5 linked regions of the Callithrix jacchus genome follow. The main gene of each other region encodes a partner of the protein of the gene in region 2 in a complex. Links are inferred from orthologs where the notes say so. Each region holds a gene or a part of one and is shown on either strand. Other genes may lie near its edges. The genes, in order: ZER1, TBL1X, CORO2A, ZYG11B and GPS2.

Evidence for each region.
Region 1: TBL1X (region 2) and ZER1 share a complex: the UniProt entries of both Homo sapiens proteins name them as parts of the E3 ubiquitin ligase complex. The link is inferred for Callithrix jacchus from reciprocal best matches to the Homo sapiens genes TBL1X and ZER1.
Region 3: TBL1X (region 2) and CORO2A share a complex: the UniProt entries of both Homo sapiens proteins name them as parts of the N-Cor repressor complex. The link is inferred for Callithrix jacchus from reciprocal best matches to the Homo sapiens genes TBL1X and CORO2A.
Region 4: TBL1X (region 2) and ZYG11B share a complex: the UniProt entries of both Homo sapiens proteins name them as parts of the E3 ubiquitin ligase complex. The link is inferred for Callithrix jacchus from reciprocal best matches to the Homo sapiens genes TBL1X and ZYG11B.
Region 5: TBL1X (region 2) and GPS2 share a complex: the UniProt entries of both Homo sapiens proteins name them as parts of the N-Cor repressor complex. The link is inferred for Callithrix jacchus from reciprocal best matches to the Homo sapiens genes TBL1X and GPS2.

The regions. Positions count from the first base shown.
Region 1 is NC_133502.1:177,369,025-177,373,264, forward strand, and holds the start of ZER1 (protein zer-1 homolog), read right to left. Parts: upstream 2,805-4,240; 5' UTR 2,692-2,804; exon of another isoform or gene 2,374-2,691; intron 1-2,373. UniProt on the Homo sapiens protein: Serves as substrate adapter subunit in the E3 ubiquitin ligase complex ZYG11B-CUL2-Elongin BC. Acts to target substrates bearing N-terminal degrons for proteasomal degradation with the first four residues of substrates being the key recognition elements.
Region 2 is NC_133524.1:9,683,056-9,687,134, reverse strand, and holds the start of TBL1X (F-box-like/WD repeat-containing protein TBL1X), read right to left. Parts: upstream 2,807-4,079; 5' UTR 2,668-2,806; intron 2,186-2,667; exon of another isoform or gene 1,675-2,185; intron 1-1,674. UniProt on the Homo sapiens protein: F-box-like protein involved in the recruitment of the ubiquitin/19S proteasome complex to nuclear receptor-regulated transcription units. Plays an essential role in transcription activation mediated by nuclear receptors.
Region 3 is NC_133502.1:146,292,797-146,296,890, forward strand, and holds the start of CORO2A (coronin-2A), read right to left. Parts: upstream 2,801-4,094; 5' UTR 2,570-2,800; coding exon 2,546-2,569; intron 1-2,545.
Region 4 is NC_133508.1:89,253,888-89,257,825, forward strand, and holds the start of ZYG11B (protein zyg-11 homolog B), read right to left. Parts: upstream 2,801-3,938; 5' UTR 2,584-2,800; coding exon 2,581-2,583; exon of another isoform or gene 2,389-2,580; intron 1-2,388. UniProt on the Homo sapiens protein: Serves as substrate adapter subunit in the E3 ubiquitin ligase complex ZYG11B-CUL2-Elongin BC. Acts to target substrates bearing N-terminal degrons for proteasomal degradation with the first four residues of substrates being the key recognition elements.
Region 5 is NC_133506.1:73,797,805-73,801,813, forward strand, and holds GPS2 (G protein pathway suppressor 2), read right to left. Parts: upstream 2,807-4,009; 5' UTR 2,749-2,806; intron 2,550-2,748; 5' UTR 2,496-2,549; coding exon 2,402-2,495; exon of another isoform or gene 2,272-2,401; intron 2,172-2,271; exon of another isoform or gene 2,040-2,171; coding exon 1,930-2,039; intron 1,846-1,929; coding exon 1,733-1,845; intron 1,601-1,732; coding exon 1,521-1,600; intron 1,430-1,520; coding exon 1,347-1,429; intron 1,176-1,346; coding exon 1,022-1,175; intron 929-1,021; coding exon 839-928; intron 753-838; coding exon 673-752; intron 609-672; coding exon 491-608; intron 311-490; coding exon 177-310; 3' UTR 131-176; downstream 1-130. Other genes in the region: NEURL4 (neuralized-like protein 4), read right to left, coding at 3,520-3,724. UniProt on the Homo sapiens protein: Key regulator of inflammation, lipid metabolism and mitochondrion homeostasis that acts by inhibiting the activity of the ubiquitin-conjugating enzyme UBE2N/Ubc13, thereby inhibiting 'Lys-63'-linked ubiquitination.

The sequences.
Region 1 (4,240 bases), on a different chromosome or scaffold from region 2:
TACTTGGGTTCAAGTGACTCTCCTGCCTCAGCCTCCCGAGTAGCTGGGATTACAGGTGTGCGCCACCATGCCCAGTTAATTTTTGTATTTTTTTATAGAGATGGGGTTTTGCCGTGTTTGGCCAGGCTGGTCTTAAATTCCTGACCTCAGGTAATCCACCTGCCTTGGCCTCCCAAAATGCTGGGATTACAGGTGTGAGCACTGCATCAGCCTGCTCGATTTTCCAGATGAGAAGACTAAGGTGGAAAAAGGTCCTGTGCCCATATTACCACAACCAGGAAGCAACAGCATAACTTGATTTAATCGCAGTGCTCTGTGACCATGATTCTTTGTATTTATTCCATCAATAGTCATTACAAAGATGGAAGAAGGGTACTTACAACCCAAGGCCAGAGCACAATGGCCATTTGTCATCTAAAACAGATCTGTGTTTTCTCCAACCACCAGACACTTCAACAAGTACAGTTCTGAAAGGGTGTCCCATTAGACACCCTGTGACCCTGTATCACAAGGACAGCCCTGATGTCTTCCACAGTTATTTGGTCCTCACTGTTCTCTGACTTCCTTGCCAACTATTCTTCCCCTCCTTCAACCTGCTGCAGTCCCTTGTCCTCCTGCTGTTTCTTTTCTTTTCTTTTCTCTTTTGAGAAGGAGTTTTGCTCTTGTTGTCTTGTTACCCAGGCTGGACTGCAATGGCGCGATCTCGGCTCACTGCAACCTCCACCTCCTGGGTTCAAGCAATTCTCCTGTCTCAGACTCCTGAGTAGCTGGGATTAGGCGTGCACCACCAGGCCCAGGTAATTTTTTATATTTTTGGTAGAGACAGGGTTTCACCATGTTGGCCAGGCTGGTCTCGAACTCCTGATCTCAGGTGATCCACCTGCCTCAGCCTCCCAAAGAGCAGGGATTACAGGTGTGAGCCTTCACATCCAGCCTCTTTTTTTTTTTTTTGAGACGGAATCTCCCTCTTGTCACCCAGGCTGGAGTGCAATGGCACAATATCACCTCACTGCAACCTCCACCTCCCAGATTCAAGTGATTCTCCTGCCTCAGCCTCCTGAGTAGTTGGGATTACAGGCATGAGCCACCATGGCCAGCTAACTTTTTTTGGTACTTTTAGTAGTGATGAGGTTTCACCATGTTGGCCAGGCTGGTCTTGAACTCCTGACCTCAGGTCATCTGCCCACCTCGACCTCCCAAAATGCTGGGATTACAAGTGTGAGCCACCGTGTCTGGCCCTCCTTCTGTTTCTTCCAATCACCAGGCATATGACCACAGGACTTTTGCATTTGCTGTGGAATGCTCTGACACCAGAGAGCTGTCTGGATTGCTCTCTCACTCACTTATTTCTGCTCAAAGGTCACCTTACCAGAGACCTTCCTTGAACACCCTCTATAAAAAGACAACTCCCACTCTCTGACCCTTCCCATGGTCCTTCCTTCTTTTTCTCCAAAGCACTTATTACCACCCTACAAATCATGTTTATTATTTGCTGAATGAACAAATGAACCAAAGTAGCGAGGCCCTTCACCCCTGGCCACCACTTTCTGCTCTAAGTATAGCCTCCTGTGACCCTTTTCAAAGCTGTGCTTTCATGCTCATCCTAACCAGTGTGAAGCCTGAAGAGAAACATTCTGTGGGAAAGATCATACATCGGAGAATTTTCCCAAGACATCGGACATTCCCCACCCCCTTAAAAACCAAATGCACTAGTCAGGCGCAGTGGCTCATGCCTATTAATTCCAGCATTTTGGAAGGCTGAAGAGTGGTTGCAGCGGCGATGCTCAGGCCCCGCAGGCAGGAGGCGAAGGAGGAGGATGCAGGTACATCCCTTGACCCCGAGTTCAAGACCACCCTGGGCAACATAGTGAGACCCCATCTCTATTTTTTAAAAAATAAATAAAGAAAATAAAAACAAAACAAAACGAATGGACTGACAAACACAGGCAAAGACTGGAAATCTTGGGGTCCTTCAGTCAAAGAGCAGCCAAGACAAGTTCTACCCACAGAGCTATAGTGGCCGGTACAGTCAGTTTCACTTTTAACTCACCTGTCGGGCTCCCTTGGCCCTCGGGTTGCAACCTCACCCTGTTGGATTTCCCTGTATTTTGTCATCCCTTTTGGGAGCTGATCCAGAATCCAAGTCATCCCTTCGCTTTTAAGCACTGCTCTGGGGTAACTTAAGCTCATCCAACAGGTAGGAGGGGCAGAGGCTCGCCCTTTCAGCCCTACACCGATCCCCCATCTTGCAGGGACAAACGACAGAGCGTCATTTTCTTTCTGGAGGAAGGGAGCCCAGTTTTAAAGACACGATTTTCAGACCCGGCGGCAGGGATAGAGAAGGAAGCCCTCCCACCACTGGCCGAGACGGACCTCAGAGAGTGGTTGCAGCGGCGATGCTTAGGCCCCGTAGGCAGGAGGCAGGTACATCCCTTGGCCCGGGGTCCAGGACCTACCCTGGGATGGGGCTGCCCTCAGCGTTGGGAAGCGGACGTGATGCTTCGCAGGCGAGGAGGAGCGGAGAATGGAGCCCGGGAGAATCCGGGACCAGAGCGCCTCAGGAGGTTGGGGAGCTCGTCAGGCTAGGGCCGGGGTCCGGGGGAGACGAGGGTCGGCTGGGCGGAGCTTGGGATCCCGCGGACGGGAGCTCCGGACGGGAGGGGGTCGCGACGGGGACCCCGTGGCGGTTACCTTGCCCTTAGGGCTGCCGGCGGGGCTGAGGCTCCCGGGCCCGGCCCCTCCCCCGATCCGGCTCCTACTGCTCCGAGCCTGCAGCCGCCGCCGCCTCCGCTGTCAACAAACCTGGGGTGCGTCACTTCCGGGGACGCCCCTTAGCAACAGCGAACGGGTTCCCCCGAGCCGTCCCGCGGCCAACGCGGGCGACGGCGGCAGAAGGTTCCGGGGCCCGGTGGGAGGCTCCTCTCCCGGGCCCAGCGCAGTCCGAGGGTGAAGGGGGCAGTGGGGTGCGCCCTCAGGCCGGCCGAGAGCACGTGTCCTCCAGGGCCTTCCCTGGTCTCCGAGGGGCCCATTCGTGGAATTCCAGGTTTGGTGCCCGCCCTAGAGCTGCGGTTCATCTGAGCCCAGCACTGCTGAAGGGCAGGACTGACTCGGCGCCAGCCCCTTCCATCCAGCGCCCTACTGAACATCTCTCGCGTTCTTCACAGGTGGCTCACACTCGCGCGTCCAGCCGCAGTCATCACCATCCCCCAAAACGTGCTCCTACACCTCCATCTAGGGCATGCGCCACCAGGCAACCGAGCTTCCGGATGGGAAGTTGGGAGGCGACCTCGGCCCTTGCATTGCCCCAGACCCCTCAATCGGTCTCCAAGTCCTAAGGATCCTGTCAAACCAGCCCCTTCTGGCCGGGCCCCGTGGCTCATGCCTGTAATCCCAGCACTTTGGGAGGCCGAGGCGGGCGGATCACCTGAGGTCAGGAATTCGAGACCAGCCTGGCTAACATGGTGAAACCCCATCTCTACTAAAATTACAAATATTAGCCGAGCTGGTGCGCGCCTGTAGTCGCAACTACTCAGGAGACTGAAGCAGGAGAATCGCTTGAACCCAGGAGGCAGAGGTGGCAGTGAGCCCAGATCGCAACACTGCACTCCACAGAGTGAGACTCCGTTTCAAACACAAACAAGAACCAGCCCCTCTCTCCTCCCTCAGTAGTGCCAATGTCTGTTCACCATCATTTCAGTGTCTGGATTTCTCTCTCTCTCTCTTTTTTTTTTTTTTTTTTGCGAGATGGAGTTTTGCTCTAGTTGCCAGGGCTGGAGTGCAATGGCCAGAGCCGGCTCACTACAAACTCCACCTCCCGGGTTCACGTAAGTTTCCTGCTTCAGCCTCTTGAGTGGATGGGATTAGGCGCCTGCCATCGTGCCCGGCTAATTTTCGTATTTTTAGTAAAACAGGTTTGCCGTGTTGGCCAGGCTGCTAGAACTCCTGACCTCAGATGATCCACCCGCCTTGGCCTCCCAAAGTGCTAGGATTACAGGTGTGAGCCACCGCAGCTCTTCTCTGGATTTCTACAACAGCCCTCCTAACAACGCCCTCCTCCCACCCCTCATTCCCTCCACATTCCCACAGTCCCAGAGTGATTTTTCCAAAACATAAATCTAATCCGGGCATCTCTTTGCTTATAACACCTGACATAGACGACAAAGACTTTTATGGCCATCCTCACCCCCAGGGCTCCCTCTCCCTCTCCAGCCTCTTGACTCGCTCCCCTTACCTCCCCTTT
Region 2 (4,079 bases):
TCGGCAAGAAAAGGAAACAGTACCCGACTTCCTCTGAAAACTCAACATATTCTCTTTCATCTTAACTTTAAATTTGTTCCAATTCCATTTTTAACAGCTTCCAATTCACTTCTGCAACCTTCAGGCATGCAGTAGATTATCTGTAAACATTTGATGGGGATGGCCGCGCTGGAAGGAAGCCGGCTTGGGTGGCACATCCATCTGAAGTCAGGCTCTCGCTGGCCAGGCAGGCAGCAGCCCGAGTGGACTCCTTAACAGCTGCCTTTCTCCCCTGGAGATGTGAAACTCCTGTTCACAGCCTAGGCTCTGCTTGCTCTTTAGAAACCTGTGACTCCTTCAGCCCCTTCCCACATTCAGCCTTTCTTTGGGTTCCGGTAGGTTTCAAGTTTGCCAGTCTGGCCAGTGTGGTCCATTTGGTCGAGCCCCACAGAAAGTGAGGGCGGGAGTGGAGGGGCAAGACCAGTGGGAAAAACTCGAGCGCAGTCTCCTGCTCAAGAGGTCAGTTACCTCCCTCTCACTAAAAATAGTTATGGGGAAAAAGTTTATCTTTCCAACTAAAAAAAAAAGTGTTTATAATATGCCTTTAGTGTTGCTTCCTGGCTGAAACTGATTTGTCAATGCATGTGGTAGTGAAAGATTAACAACCTCTCGGATGTAGCGTACTAGGTCTTTTTGTTTTTCCTAAGGGAGAATAAAAAGCAAAGCAAGGCAACAGGAAAGCAGCGCAAGGATGGTCTTGCCTGGCTGGGCAGAGAAGCTGTGATGATCGGCTAGGCCTGGAGGCCCACAGGACAGTGCTGCAAGGCAGTTTTGTAGAAAACTGGGAAGGGGCCAGGCCCAGGTTCTAACGGAGGTGTTCTCTTACCCAGCAGGAGTGGATCAGAGAATCTGAATTCCTGACACTCACGACCTGCTGGAGATGGCCTCTGCTCATCACCTTAAAAGGTGAAAAAAAGCTTCTAACTAAGAATGATGCACAGAACCAGTGGTACTGATATAATTGATGGGAAAACTCCAGAATTTGAAACATTCACTTCTAAGTGTGTCTACAATAAAGTTATTATTTTTTGCAAACTGTTTCCTCTTTAAACTACTGGCAGGGAGAAGTTCTCTGAGTCCAGTAAAGGGGCAAAATACCTGCGGGTGGGGAAGCGAGGGTGTCTGCACTACGCCACACATCTCCATGTCAGTCCTACAGGTGTGTGTATTCCGAAGGGCTGGAATCGCCTTAAGAGCCGGTGATCCAGTGGTGAACAACTTTCGTTGTTTGTATGAGTTACGCAGTTTGGTGGCTTTCCACAAAAATCTGCAGCACACCTGAGACATGACAACCCTTTAAAATAAGCATGTCATACTCAACATTTTTCTAGATTTTATTTTCCTAATTGCATCTTTTCTAGGTAGGACTTGTAAACTTTTCGTAAAATGGTCAAGAGCCACTTTCCGACACCAAAGCCATGGCCCGGGACCTTAGCAGGGAGGTCGCCTTCCAGGTTAAACCAGGGATTCGGCGGCGTGTCAGGAGATGGAAAACATCCAGAAGGCAGGTCAAGCCACACATGACAATGCAAAGCAGAAACAGTTGCAAATACAATAGAGGGTGGGTTTCTGTTTCTTTTTAGGTTTTGCTCCAGAACATCACTGACTGACTCGAAAATAAACGATGGTCCCTACCTTTGTGGAACGTCCAACGCAGCTGGCTGGGGAAACACGAGGCCTTGCAGCGAGCGAGCCCTGGCCCCAGTATGACCGCGCACAGGCGATGCACGTGAAGTCCAGGCCCTTTACCCGCACTAGCGGGGCTCCAGCGACCCACAGTTGTCACAGATCCGGCCATCCCCGACTCCCGAAGGCACACTCCCCATACCGCACTCCGAGCACCGGTCCCATCCTTAGATAAAGTCCCCCGCAGCAAGGCTAGAGCTCCGGATCTGCGAGACCCACCCGACCCGACCCGCCAGAGCCCAGGAGCAGCAACAGGTCTGCGCTCTCCCCGGGCGGCGCTCTGCAGACCCTCGACGGGCCAGGGGTGCCCCCAGCCCGGTCGTGCGCTCGGGCCGGGGAGATGGGCAGAGGACAGGGACTCCCGACTTCCTTGACAGTTTCTGCGCTTCAGAAACTGAGCAGACGCGGAGCCCGCGCCTCCTCACCAGCCACTCGCCCCACTCCGCGCAGCTGCGCTTCCAACCGGGTGCCGGCGGGCCGGCCCGCGTAGCGGGGATGAATGGGGCTCCCCTCCCCAACAGGGGGAAATCCCGCTACCGCCCTCCACCTCGGGCCCCGGAGCCCACGGTGGCGCAGGTTAACCCAGCAAGCCTAAGGATCGGCAGACAAAGAGGCACCATAGGAGAAGCGGAGTGCTTCCCGAAACTTACCGGCCGCCTCCCCCTCCCCAAAACAAAGGAGCCCCCAGCCGACCTCCGTCTCCTACCCCCACTTTGGGGAACCGCCACCTCGGGGTATTGTTCAGTCTCCGGGGAGCGCGCCGCACACCAGTCCGAGCGCCGCGGGGACAGCTGGCGACCTGCGCCTCCAGGAGTTCCAGGGGCGGGAGGAGCGTCGGGCTCCCCGAGCCTCCGGCAGGACCCCCGAGGGTCAGCACGGAACCCGCCTCCCCGCAGAAGTTTGCGGACCCAGCGCCCGGCCCGCCGAGCCCCGCGCACTCACCTCACCGCGAGCAGCGCAACTTGTGGCGGCGCCGCGCGCCGGTCTGCGCTCCGAACCTCCCTCCAGCAGGCAGCCTCCGAGCCCCTGCCGTGTGGCGGCCGAAGAGGGCCCGGCGCCCTGGAGCAGCGGCGCGCCGCCCCTGGGCCGCCCCCGCCCCGCCGCCGCCGAGTCCCTGAGAGGGCGCGGGCGCTGGAAAGTTTCGGTGGCGAATGGCGGCCGGAGAGAGCTGCGGCGGCGGCAGCGGGGCGGGGGCGCTGGCGGCTCCTCGCTCCCAAGCGCGGAGTGGGGGCGCTGAGGCGGGCGCGGCGGCGGCGGCGGCGGCGGCGGCGGGAGAGGGCGGGACGGCGGGAGGGAGCGGGACGGCGAGAGGGACTGGCTCGGGCAGTGACCTCCGCGGGGAGCGGCTGCGAGCGCGCGGACTCCAGCTGGGAGGACAGCCTAGGGGGCCGCCCCCGCCGCCGGCCCCTCCCTCGCGGCCGTGGGAGGCGACCCCGCGTCCCACCCGGCCCCGCCCCTGCGCCCCGGGGGGGCCGCGTCCCGAGCCAGCCCCTCCCCCACGAGGATAGGGACTCCAGCCCCGCCCCTCCCCCACTGAACCTAGTGGGAGACCCGCGTCCCAACCCAGCCCTTGCCCCTGGGTCGGGGGACTAGCGTCCCTACCCAGCTCTCCCCGCTCCCCCACGCCTAGGGTGGGTGAGGGGAACCCGGGCCTCTCCCTAGTTGCCGGGGCCCGGTCCCTTCCCCGTGGCCCCCGTGGGACTGAGAGGAACCCAGGCTTACCCTCATTCCATCCCAAACCCAGCCTTTCCACGACTGCCTGGAGAGGACAGGAACCTCGGCCACCCCCTCGGTTTATAGCGGGCAGGGGAACCTCGGTCACTGCTAAAGTGTTACCCTCCCCCATCCCAAAAAGGAAGCAACCCGGCTTCCCTGACAGAACCCCAGCCACCTGCCCGAGGGTGTATCTACCTCAAAATCGGCGTTTTAAAAGACACCCCAGTTATCTTTCCCCACCTCAAGAAGTGGGGACTCCGGCGGAACCTCCACCTTTGCAAAACACCTCCCGGGAAGAGCCAGAAATGCTTAGGGACAAACTCAGACCCCGTCAGAGTGGCCGGAGCTCAGGGGTGGGGGCTGAGGAGGAGGTTAGGGGACCTGGGCCAGCGGGCTTCATCACCCCCACCCCCAACCTTAGGCTTCAGCCCTCGGGCCCTTGCTAAGTGTTTGACGTAACGGCTTACACTGCCTGGCCCTGGTGCACCCAAGTCCCCAGCGCTCCTTCCTCCCCTCCACCTTGATGTCGACTCCCCACGACTCGCGACCTTAATTCAGTTAAACAGATCTCCGCTCCCCCTACCCAGCACCTCTTGGGTCAGCCTTGTTGAATATTTTTCAAATAAGTTTGCCCCTTC
Region 3 (4,094 bases), on a different chromosome or scaffold from region 2:
ATTAGACAAGAGTCTTTATCTTTTAGAGACATATGCCTAATATTCACAGATGAAATGGTATAACATCCAGGATTTATTTTAAAATACCTTGGGGCTGTTGAACAGAGGAGGAGAAAATGAGGGAGTAGAGATGAAACAGGCTGCTGATGGTGGGTCGGGGTACATGAGGATTCACTGGAATCTTCTCTTTAATTTTGTATGTGTCTTTAAATTTCCTTTGTACAAGATTTATGCAAGAAAGAAGCAGGAGAGCACAGAGGTGGCCCAGGCTCTGGAGCTTGACTGTCAGGGTTCGAATCTTGGCTGTAAACAGCCCTGTGCAACACAGAACCTCTAGTCCCACAAGACTTCTAAATTAAAGTTAAAATCAAATAAAGTGTAAAATCTAGCTCCTTAGTCACATTAGCAACATTTTAAGAGCTCAAAAGCCACACGTGCTTAATATTCACAGATGAAGCCATATAAGTAATTATAGAGCACGCCCATCACTGAAAAAAGTTGTCGGACAGCACCGCCCTAACATTTCCTCTCTGCCACTCTGGGCAAGTTAATGTGTCTGTTTCCTCACTAGGAGAATCAGGAGCTACAAATACAAATAATAGCTAACACCTATATTGCTGATTAGGTGTTTAGTATATTCTATGTACTAACTCAACCCTCATGCAAATACTATCATCACCCCATTTTTAAGATGAGGAAACAGGGCACAGAGAGGTTATGTAACTTGCCTAAGACCACACAGCTAGTTAGTGGCTGGGCTGGAATCCAGGCCACGCTGTTCAGTCGCAGGTCCACACTCTCACAGGGGTGCCTGGACACTTACATGAGGTGACACTTATACACAGCATGCGGAGTCACACTTGGTGCATACGTAGTGTTCAGCAGACGTTGACTAGTAAGATTGTTGTGGTCCTAATGTGTACAGGACACTGAGATGTGATTTAACACACAACCAGGTATATGCTGGGAGCCCAATATTTTGGGGATCTAAATAAAAATCCCAAACCAGAAAGCATAAAGCAGGCTGCCAGGGTCTGAGTGGCTCGTGAGAGTTCCAACCCCTGGCGCTCACGATGATGATGGGGAACAGACACACACATGCAGAAGGCTAGCTGACAATCCCTGCTGGATGAGAAGAATCCAAGAGAGTGCATTTGTGCTTCTCCAGGCTGGGCTCTCCCGGGTGGATGTCAGAAGGCCCCACCCTGCCCTGGTGCTGAGGGGCCTGGGATGGGGTGGAGGAGCAGGGGAAAAAACCCTTTGCTTCTTCTCCATCAGCACAGCCCAGGCAGGGAAGCAGGAGTGCAGCCATCCAGGGACTCTCACGAGTGAGGGTTGTTGGGGCTCGACCATCAACAAGGGAGGCAGAAGCGGTCTGCAGCCGGCAAACACAAACAGCCCTGTCCTCAGGTCTCCGCCTTCCCCGCCCCTGCGCTGCCCATCATTCTGGTCCAGCACAGATGCCTCCCTGCAGGCCCACAGGAAGTACAGATTGAGTCAGAGAGCGAGCCAAGACAAGGCCTCTTTCTTCCTGATGAGATTAGGCCTGCGGGAGTGCCTCCTCCCTACATCTGACACTGCCCAGAGCCACCGTCCCTGGACTGGCCTCCTCCTCCTGCCCTGCCTCCTCCCCAGCCAGCCCTGCCCCCCACAGCCCCCACCTGCTCTCTACTCCTCTCCCAGGCCATGCCAAGGCCTGAGCAGCCTTCTCTCTTGGGGATTCAGGCCTAGAGTATTCCGACCTCAACTCTGGCCCTGCCCCTTCCCGACGTCTGTTGAAACCCACCCGGGTCCCCTCTGTCCTCAGGATAAAGTCCTCTGCTGGACTTGGGTTTTGAGGTCTCTACATTCCCCCTGCGTCCCTGATCTCCTTCTCATCTCCACAGACCTGTTCTCTAAGCTGAACTGGTCTGTCTGCTTTCCCCTCAAAGCATCACATTTTTCAAAAGAGAAGGGGAGAAGCAAAAAGAAAATAAAGAAGCATCATGTTTTCCCAGATAATCCATCTTTGCTCATGCCCCTTCCCTCCACCTAGAACTACTCCAGCCCAGGTAAGTTGCTGGGTGGCACTTAGCGGGGCTCTTAGGATGCCCCTTCCTCTCACCCCACCTTCCTGGCCCAGCTCCAGCAGAACCACCTCCAGGGAGCCTCCCCGCCTCCCAGACTGAGCAGTCTCTCCATCCCATGCAGTCCCATCCTGACATTTGGGGAGGTAGCCAAGGGCAGGGAAAAAGAAGTCACCAGTTTCAAGCCCTGGACCCCTGTTTGTCTCTGTACCATAGCATTAGAGTACCCTAATATTTTTCTCATAGAATCTAGAAGATTAAATTAGATCATGTACGTAAAAGACTTTGCATGTGTCTGGCACAACGTAGGAGCTCGGCTCATGGAAGTGCCCCTCCCCTCCTCCTTTCCTGCCCACTGTGTTTTTTCCTTCTCTTCCTTCCTCCCCCACCAACACACCCCGAGGACTGTCAACCCCAGATGGTTCTCCCCTTCTGCTGCGCCCATGTACAGCCCTGTGGGGACCCAGGGGGAGGCCCACCTGACTCTCAGCTTGAGCTTCCATTCAAACCAGCAGCTTCTTCCGAATTCCACCTTGGGGTGCTAGGAGCCAACGGGCTGGGCCCATCACTGTCATAGCAGTGTGCTGGTCAGGCTGGAGAATCCCAATTCTTTTTTTTTGCTTTGTTTTTTTCTTTTTTTGAGACAAAGTCTTGCTCTGTCACCCAGGCTGGAGTGCAATGGCGCAATCTTGGCTCACCGCAACCTCTGCCTCCGGGGTTCAAGTGATTCTCCTGCTCAGCCTCCCGAGTAGCTGAGATTACAGGCATGCACCACCACACCCAGCTAATTTTTGTACTTTTAGTAGAGACAGGGTTTCACCATGTTGCCCAGGCTGATCTTGAACTCCTGACCTAAGGTGATCCACCCGCCTCTGCCTCTCAAAGTGCTGAGATTACAGGTATGAGCCACTGAGCCCTGGCCGATAATCCTAATTCTGACACCAATTCACTCCATGACCTTGGGCAAATCTCATCCCCTCTCCCGCTTTCTGTGTTTCTATCCACATGATAGTAACAGCCCTGCCCTGCCCACCTGTTAGGATGATCTGTGAGGGCGCTGCAGCCTGCACACGCCAGACACACTCAGGACCTCGAGGGCGGCAGAGCTTGTCCACCTGTCAGCCGTCCTCAGAAGGCTGGTCTCCTTCCTGCCTAGGCCTTCTGAAGACACAGCAGAGCTTCTTCCTGTTTAACCCCCCAAATCAGGATCTGACAAAACTCCACACAGATTTATTGCCCCACAATCTCCTTATCTGGGAGTTTCGAGCGACAAGGGTCACTGGGGATTTTCCAAGACGCCTCCAGAGGCTGAAAATCTGGGCTCCACTTCCTGCTCACTGTCCACTTTCTGGCACAGAGCTTTCGGGCCTGTCTTTGGACAGAGAAGGACACTGAGGCCCAGAGAGGGAGAAAGCCTTGCTTAGGGTCCCACAGTCAGCCCAAGGCAGGGCTGAAGCTCTGCAACTCTGGTCCTGGGGCGGACATCCAACCAGGGCCCTGCATTCTGTTCTCAGCATGGACCCACAAATCAGCCCTCACTCTGCCTGCCTCAGGGACCGGGGGCCCAGAGTCAGTTCAGCCGACATCATCAGTGCCCACTGTGAGTCTGATGCCATGCTGGGCACTGTAAGGGAGATGCATGATGGACCCAGACAGGGTCAGGGTCAGTTACGGGGGAGCTCAGAGGATGGGGGAGGCCCCCATGTAACCAGCAAGCTCAATTCAGGGTCACCAGGGCTAAGGCCAGCGCCGCAAGTTGCAGCAGGGAGATGGAAATCTGGGGAGTCAGGGTGGGCCTCTGGGACGACACGGTTGAGCTGAGCCTTCAAGGTCAAGTAGAGCAAGCCCAGCAGAGGAGGGAAGGGGAGGCACCTGGGTGGAAGGTGCTGTGCTAGGCCACGCCTGGCCGTGTGTGGTGTGTGGAGATAGAGCTAGGAGCTTTCAGCTCAGCGGGGTGGGGGGGTGGGAGACTTGGTCTAGGCAAATGCAGGCCAGCATTGGGGCTGCGGCTGGAAGAGGGGCTGTGGC
Region 4 (3,938 bases), on a different chromosome or scaffold from region 2:
GGCATGGTGGCGCGTGCCTGTAATCCCAGCTACTCAGGAGGCTGAGGCAGGAGAATTGCCTGAACTCAGGAGGCGGAGGTTGCGGTGAGCCAAGATCGCGCCATTACACTCCAGCCTGGGTAACAAGAGCAAAACTCCATATCAAAAAAAAAAAAAAAATCTGGGGAATTGATCTTGGACTTTGAAGCCTGAGAAATAATTTCTGTTGTTGACAACCTACCTAGTTTACGGTATTTTGTTACAATAGATTGAATGGGCTAAAACAATATCTTCCTAGTCTCATTTCCTACTACACATCTTCATTCTTGCATCCTTCCATGCTATATAAGGGTAATACTACTCCCTATAATGCATCCTAATTCCTTCCTACTTTCTTTCTTTTAAAAAAAAAATATCCCTGTGAGAGCATCCTTTCTACTTGCTACTCATTCACAATGAAGCATTCTTCCCCTTCCCAAAATGGTTTATACAAATCCTATTCAAATCCTATTCATCTTTCAGTCCCAGGTATTTAGGATCCCAGGACACTTTGGGATCCTAAATACCTAAAAGGGGAGTTCGTAACTCCTCCCTTTCATAAATTCATTCTCAGTGGAAGGACCCACACTTTCAAAAATCTAGCAATGTGATGTCTTAGGTAGGATGGCTTTTTATTCTGGAGAGTACATCATCATACCTCACCTAATATCATTTTTGCACCAAAATTAAGATTCTCTGCCCAGGCATGATGGTTCATGCCTGTAATTGCAGCACTTTTAGAGGTCAAGGTAGGAGGATGGCTTAAGTCCAGGAGGTCAAGACCAGACTGGGAAACACAGCGAGACTCCATCTCTACATAAAATTTTACAAATTAGCAGGGCACAGTAGCCCGTGCCTGTGGTACCAGCCACTTGTGAGGCTGAGGTGGGAAGATCACTTGAGCCCAGGAGTTCAAGGTTGCAGAGAGCCATGATTATGCCACTGCACTCCAGCCTGGGCCACAGAGCAAGACCGTCTCCAAACAACAATTCCCATACTCACTCTTTCTGTGTGGTCCACTAGTTACCTCAAAATTTCAGTTTAAGTTTATACTAGTCAGGTGGGAAATGAGAATATAAAGTGATTCATTTAAGCACCTAGCTGGCCTAAGCACTTGGAATAAGTAAGGCACGGTTACTACCTAGAACTTACATTCCACAGGGAGAACAGGTTAATATACAATGACAGTGAAGGAGACAGGAAAATTACAGCCTAAAAATGCAGAAGCAAGTTAGGGAAAATTCACAGATTAAATAATTTTATAGTAAATCACTTTTCTAAAAAACAGATGGAGGGGAAAAAAAAACAAACTAGGAAAACATGATTATCAGGACTTAGTTTTGACTAGAATGTCTCATTCCTCCCAGAGACCAAAGTTTAGCTTGTTGCATATGATGAAGCAATGTTTTCAATTAATGTACAGCAAACCACTTATAAGCCAACTCAACGAAAAAAAAACAACTGAAGCCTCAACCTGTTTTCAAACATAAAGAAGAAAATTTGCAAATATAAGGTTCTCCCAACTAAAGGCAGAGAGGGCAAAACAAATGAACTCTTTAGAAGGTTTAAAGAGACTACCACAACCTGCCAAGCTGATTGTCAGTCCTCAAATGCCCTTGGTCTCTGCCTCCAAATGAACATAAATCATTTGTTTTAGCTAATAACAGTCAAGCTTGTAAATAAGTATTTAAAAATTTCCCCAACCGTACCTCCACATTAAAAGATGCTCAAAAAAAAAATTCGAAACAATTTTAAGCTATTTCCGTCAAAAGACTAGCTCTCTCCTAAGGTCACAGTATGCATGCTGGCCCTCACTTCGTGGCTCTAACACACCACCACTCCGGTTTTGCAATGACACCAGGTAATAGGATTCCAAGATCTCTTCAATGCCTCCAAAAACGGAAAGGAAGAAGCGAGCCTACAAATTCCTATCTGTCCGGCCTGCAGCTCCCGGGAAGCAACAGTTCTCAAATTGTTCCTGCTTAGACCCCTGAAGCCCGTAGAAGGAAATAGGGACAGCTGTGAAAGCGAGCCGAGCGAGGACATCCGATAAGGGAAGAGGAAACGTGGATGGGAGAGGACGAAGGGGAGAAGGAACACGGAAGGAGGGGGCAGTGGAGATAAAATGGTGAAGAGGGGTAAGAAGAGCAAAAAAGAGCAGCCAAAAATAGCGAGGAAAGGAGGGAAAGTAAAAATCCCATAAGAGGAAAAAAAGGCAAAATGATAGAGGAGAAAGGAAGGAAGGGTTAGGGTTAAAGGACGAGGAGTGGGCGACAAAGGGAATGCGAAAAAGGCTGTCACTGGGGATGATAAAAAGGATGTCATTGGGGAGAAGGGAGATTCAGGGGGTGTCACCTAAAAGGGGCTCACCCCAGCAGGTGGATGAGGGAGCACCGGGAAGGAGGAGCTGGACACCGAGAGGGAGGTTACGAGGGAGAGAGGTAAAGACAGAGAGGCCGAGAGGATACCAGAGACAGGGAGGGCATTCCTGCAGGGGCTAGCGCGGCAGGCGGGGGCTAGGGTGGCAGGCGGCTGCGGCTAGGGCAGGCCTCGCTCCCTCACCATGGTTGCGCCGGCCTGGTCCTCGGGCGTGCAGCCTCCGTCCTGGATGCGGCGGCGGGCCGGACCGGAGCCCGCCCCCAGGCTGAGCCGGCGCGGAGGCTCCAGGAGGCTCCGGCGAGCGGCGGCTCCGGGCTTGGCCCAGGCCTCGGCCTCTTTCCCTCAAAAGGTAGAAGTGCAGCAACCAAAGCCGCAGCCGCAGCCGCAGCCCGAACCGGAGTGCAGACTCCGCCCCCGCGAGGACCCGCCCAGGCGCGGGAGCCCGAGCTTGGCCCCGCCTCCACTCTCAATACGCAGACTCAGCCGAGGGGTCCGCCCCCCCAGCCCGACCTCGAGCTTCTCCCCTTCTCCGGCTCTTAAAGGAGCCACACACCCCCAAATCCTAGCTTCCCTTCAAAATATGAAGAGCTTTAAATATTACATCATGACAAGAGATTACAGCACCTCTCGCTTCCGTCACCTATAGACCCCTCTGTCACTCACCATCATTCTTTAAGATTTGGGCTTCTAGTACACTGTTATTCATTACTACTATTGTCATAATTCTCGGTGATTTCAACATTCGCTTAATTCTTCCAATCTTCTGGCCTCTCAGAGTCTTCTGTAGGAATCATTCTTGGCTCAGCCCCTCACTCTCATGCTCAAACGAATAACTCCTTTACAATCTCAATTTTAATCCTCTAACTCCCATCACAACCTTCTTCCTTTCTAGTTCACTCTCTCTGATAATACTCCAACTCCAAAAACTTCAACCCCAAGACCCCAAATCCATTGATCCAGCTACCTTTCGCTATTCTTCCCCATACTGTCCTCATGTACTCACTATGTTTCTGAAACAGCTTAGATTCTATTGTCCATCATGAAATGGAATCTAATAACATCTAAGCTGTTTCAGGAAGAACATGAGTACATGAGGTACATGAAGTCGATTTCTTCAGTATTACCTTCATTTATCCAGTCTTTCTCTGCTTTCTTTGTACTGATGAAAGTCCAGCAGTGGAGTGGGTGAAGAAAAAGCCAAAAGTGGTTGACTGACTCCCGGTAAATTTGAGATCATTATTCTCAAGGGGCCATCATTCGTGGCTACACTACCACATTTCTCCAGTTTCACACACTCTCCCACCTTGCTACATAACTATTTCAAGTCTCCTGTCTCTTAAAACCTCCAACACTTCCTTCCTCATCCTCATTTAGCTGATGATTTTGCTTCCAATTCACGGGAAAATGAAGCAAACCAAAAAGAACATCTACCAGTTCTCAGCACTCACCATGACTTTCAACTAATCTGTATCTCTGCTTTGACACTCTTTCTGCCTTCCTTTCCTTACCTACAAGTGAATTATTCATCTTTTAGCTAACGT
Region 5 (4,009 bases), on a different chromosome or scaffold from region 2:
TTCATTGAAACCCACTATCTGTATCACTTTGACTTGCTGTAGACCTGCCAGCCTAACCCAACCCTTCAAGCAGCCTTGACCTATTCCAGACAGTTGGGTGGGAGGCAACACAAACAGCAGCAGCCAGGGGCAGTGGCAGGTAGATTTTATTGGCCTGGGACACACAGGGGGTACCCTCACCCACAGTAGGATGGGGGGTATGGTGTTGAAGATAATAATCTGATGGTCACTTGTGGTAGAATCGCGGGTTCTGGCTGTGTTGGATGAAGGGGAGCCGAGGGCCAGGTTGGCTGGTAGCTGCAAAGCCCGACTGGCGGTGGTGATGAAAAGAGGGCTTTGTCACTGGGCATACTTTCCCTTCCACTAATACCCTTACTGATAACCACCCCCAAAGAGGAAGGTAAAACCAGATGATGTGGGCCACCTGTCCTACCTAATTCTGCTTTTCTGGGATAGGGATTCTGACAGGTAAGGTTATTACCATTCTTACCTTTCCTGCTGGTTGGATCTGCACAGGGAGCTGGGGGGAAGCAAGGAGTCCAGGGGCTGGATGCAGAGCCTGGGGGTGCATGGGGCGCAGAGAGGACTGCAGAGAACAGAGTCAGGGCCTGACGCATACTGAAGCTCCTCTTAACATATCCTTAACCCTGACCTCCCAAGCGCCATACTCACTGAGTCAGAGAAGCCCGTCTGCTGGTTAGCATGTTCCATCTGCTTTTGCAAGGACAGGGCACCACCAGGCTGGAGGAAACCTAGGTGGGGAGCAGGGGCATGTGAAACAATGAGACAGGGAGGGGAGGACCCAGAGAGCTAGAGGTCCTGCATGGGATGTTATCACCTGTCTGAGTGGGCTGAAAGTGGCCGTGTACCGCATAGGGCTGTGGTTGTGGCTGAGATAGGTACTGCACTGCAGGGAACGCTGAAGGAGCTGAGAAAGAGACACGGCTATTAACCCTTTACTCAATAGCATTCCTCTTTTGACCCTGAGGAAAGCCAAGCCCCCATCCCTCCGACGACTCACCTCTGAGCTGCTGACTAGGACTATAAGCTGGCTGTGTGGGCCCATAGTGAGGTGGGGGCTGAGCAGTCCCATAGGCACCACCAGGACTGCCTTGGAATTGTCCATGCTCTGGTGTCCCCGCAAAAGCAGCTGCTGAGCCCACATAGTGCCGAGTCTAAGGAGGGAGAATGAGAACTCACCTACAAGCTCCATGAAAGCTGAAACTCAGTGACTTGTGTATATCTTTATGCTCTTGTTTCCCCCTAAATTTAAGTGCTTGATATGTCTGTGACTTGAATACTGGTGGCAAGGATATTTGGGACTAGGCATCCAATCCTATTCTTACCGTAAGCACTTGGGGTCCAAACATTTGTTTGGCTCTGTCAGCTGCCATAAGCGTGCCTGGGCGATTGTGTCCTCCAGGGCTCCCTAGAAAGGGAGAAGGGCGGCAGGATGCTGAAATGGTAGGCTGCAACCTCAAAGAAGGCTGGTTCTATCAGGTAGTTTTTTTAATCCTCACCTTGCATGCTGAGGAGATGAGTTCCTGTGTGAACAGTCAGGCTCTGCTGGTATGCAGCTGATGTCAGGGTGGTCAGGTCACTGGAGCGGAAGGAAAACAGATCAAAGTCAAGGACAGACACTCTCTCTTTTGTCGTTAAAACACTGGTTGTCTTACTATCTGATCCCAGTTCCACTTAGCCCCCATTTCGGTTTTTATCACTCTGATCCCACCTTTGTTCCTTTCGCCTCCGTTTTTCTTCCTCATGTAAAACTTTCTTGAGCTGCAGGAAAAGCTGGTGCTTTTCTTCCTGTAGGGCCAAAAGCTTCTCCTGCAACTTCAGAATCTGGTATGGGGTGGGGAGAGAAGATGAAGGCAGGGAGAGTCAAGGGAAGAATTTAGAGCTTGGAGAGATCAAGGGACTGCTTACTTGTTCCTTGGTCTCCTCTAGTGACATTCTCTCTTCCATCTCCTTTTTCTTCCTTCTTTCTTGCTCTTCCTTCATCTTCTGTTCCATCATCTTGTCCACCTCTTCTTCCTCTGGAGAATCACGCAGAATGAGGAAGAGGCAGGGTAGTAAAAATTCCAACGTTACAGATTGAAGACCAGCAAAACCCAGTCATCCCAACACGCCTGTGGGCTCTTTGCCTCGAGGGGACAAGCTCCCCAACGCTGCAATAGGGAATGGAATGGAGAGACTTTATCAGGTGCTCTCCAAGGTCCTTCCCAGCTCAAGGGTCCTGGAGAGTGGACTAGGACGCTTAAATCCTACCACAACAGAGCTGTTCGTTCCCTCCTCTGCGCTCGGCAGCGGGCGCGCAGGTTGGCCGGTGGGTTGGGGCCAGCCCTGAGGTACAGGAGCCATTCTGGGCCGTATGCCCTCCGCTATGGCCCCGGCTCACCCTGCCTCTTGCGCTCCCGTTCCATCATAATGTGCCGGTGCAGCGCCCTGGCCATGGCGTTGGAAAGCTTGGGGCGCTCCAGAAGTGCAGGCATGGTGCTGCCGTGGACGCCCGGCTCTGTCTCTCACTGCCAGACCTCAGACGAGACCTACGGAGAGGCGGGCGCTCAGAGGGGCCCGCGCCCGGCTCAGGCGGAAACCCGCTCGCCGCCCCGGTCACGTGTCCCGGGAGCCCGCCACCCGGCCGAGCCCGCAGCCCCCGCTCCAGCACGCGCGCGGGCGGCGCTGGGTCCCCGGCTCGGTGCTGCCGCTCCCTGCCTGGCCAGCCCGGACGCCAACCCTCCTTACCAGCCTTCTCTGCGCTTTTTCCGCGGCTCCGGCGCGCCCTGGACCCTACGTCACATCCGGTGGCCCGACGAGTCCTTCCGGAGTCACGGCGGCGGCCGATCTCACTGATTGGGTGGGAGAAGGCGGAAGCGCGATGCGACGGGTACCCGCGGCGTCCAAACCCCGTCGCCGCACAACTGCCTTGGCATCTTCAGTTCTCTTAATTTCGCGGGCCCGCCTGGCAGTACCCCAGGGGACGCAGGATCCGGAAAGGGGCGCGTGAGAGAGAGGCTGAAGCGGAGGCTCTGAGACGATGTTTATTGGCTCCTTAGAAATCAGAGTCAGTAACAACTGTACAGAGGCCCCCGTCTTCCGTGCGCCCGCCCTTCCCCACTCCCGCCCAGTGGCCCCGGCAAAAGCAGCTTCATGTGGGCACAGGTAGAGACTCCTCTGGGATTCACAGTAACCAGTAACAAAAACTGAAATAAATTAAGTGATGTCGGGGAGGGGAGTAATAGGGAGTTATGTTCCACAAATCAGTGCATGAAGAAGGGTACCAAGGCCTGGAGCTAGGCTCTCGCAGCTCCTCCCCTCAGACGGAGTGCTGGGCGTCTGGACCTGGAGTGTGCCGCTTCCCACCTACATCTGAGAGCCTGCCTACATGCTCCTGAGCGGCCGCCGAGCCCCAGCACCTGCGCATGCCACAGTCACGGGAATGAGGTGGAGGCAGTCGCCACTCGGAGTCCATGGGCCTGAGGCCCGACTGTGCTTGTAGTAGTGGTGTCTCACCCCTCATTCCACCCGTACCAGCAGAGCATAGAGGAGTGTGGCCCCCTTCTCCTTAGTGACCCACTCAAGTTCGGCTGGGCTGAAGTGAGGGTCAGAAGGTTCTCCAAGGGCAGCGGAAGGGGGTCCTGGGGTGTAGGAGCCAGGACGCACACACACCTGGAACGCCACCTGAGCCTGGTGCGTCCGCTGGGATTTGGGGTCCCGGAATCTGTCAGACAAGAAGAAATAGGGGAGTGAAGCCTCTCACCCCATCACCTCTCCCCTTGCAAAGTCTGTTCCAACCACACAAGCCTTGCTTTACCTAGGAAATCCTCTCACCTTTTGGGAACTTCGTTCTAGCTGTTCTTTCTACCTGAAATGCTCTTCCTCCCAAAGCCTGCTCAGCTACCCTTTACTTCCTTCTTCAAGCCTTTGCTCGAATGTCTCCCACCTTCCAGGCTGGAGTGCAGTGGCACAATCTCAGCTCACTGCAACCTCTGTCTCCTGGGCTCAA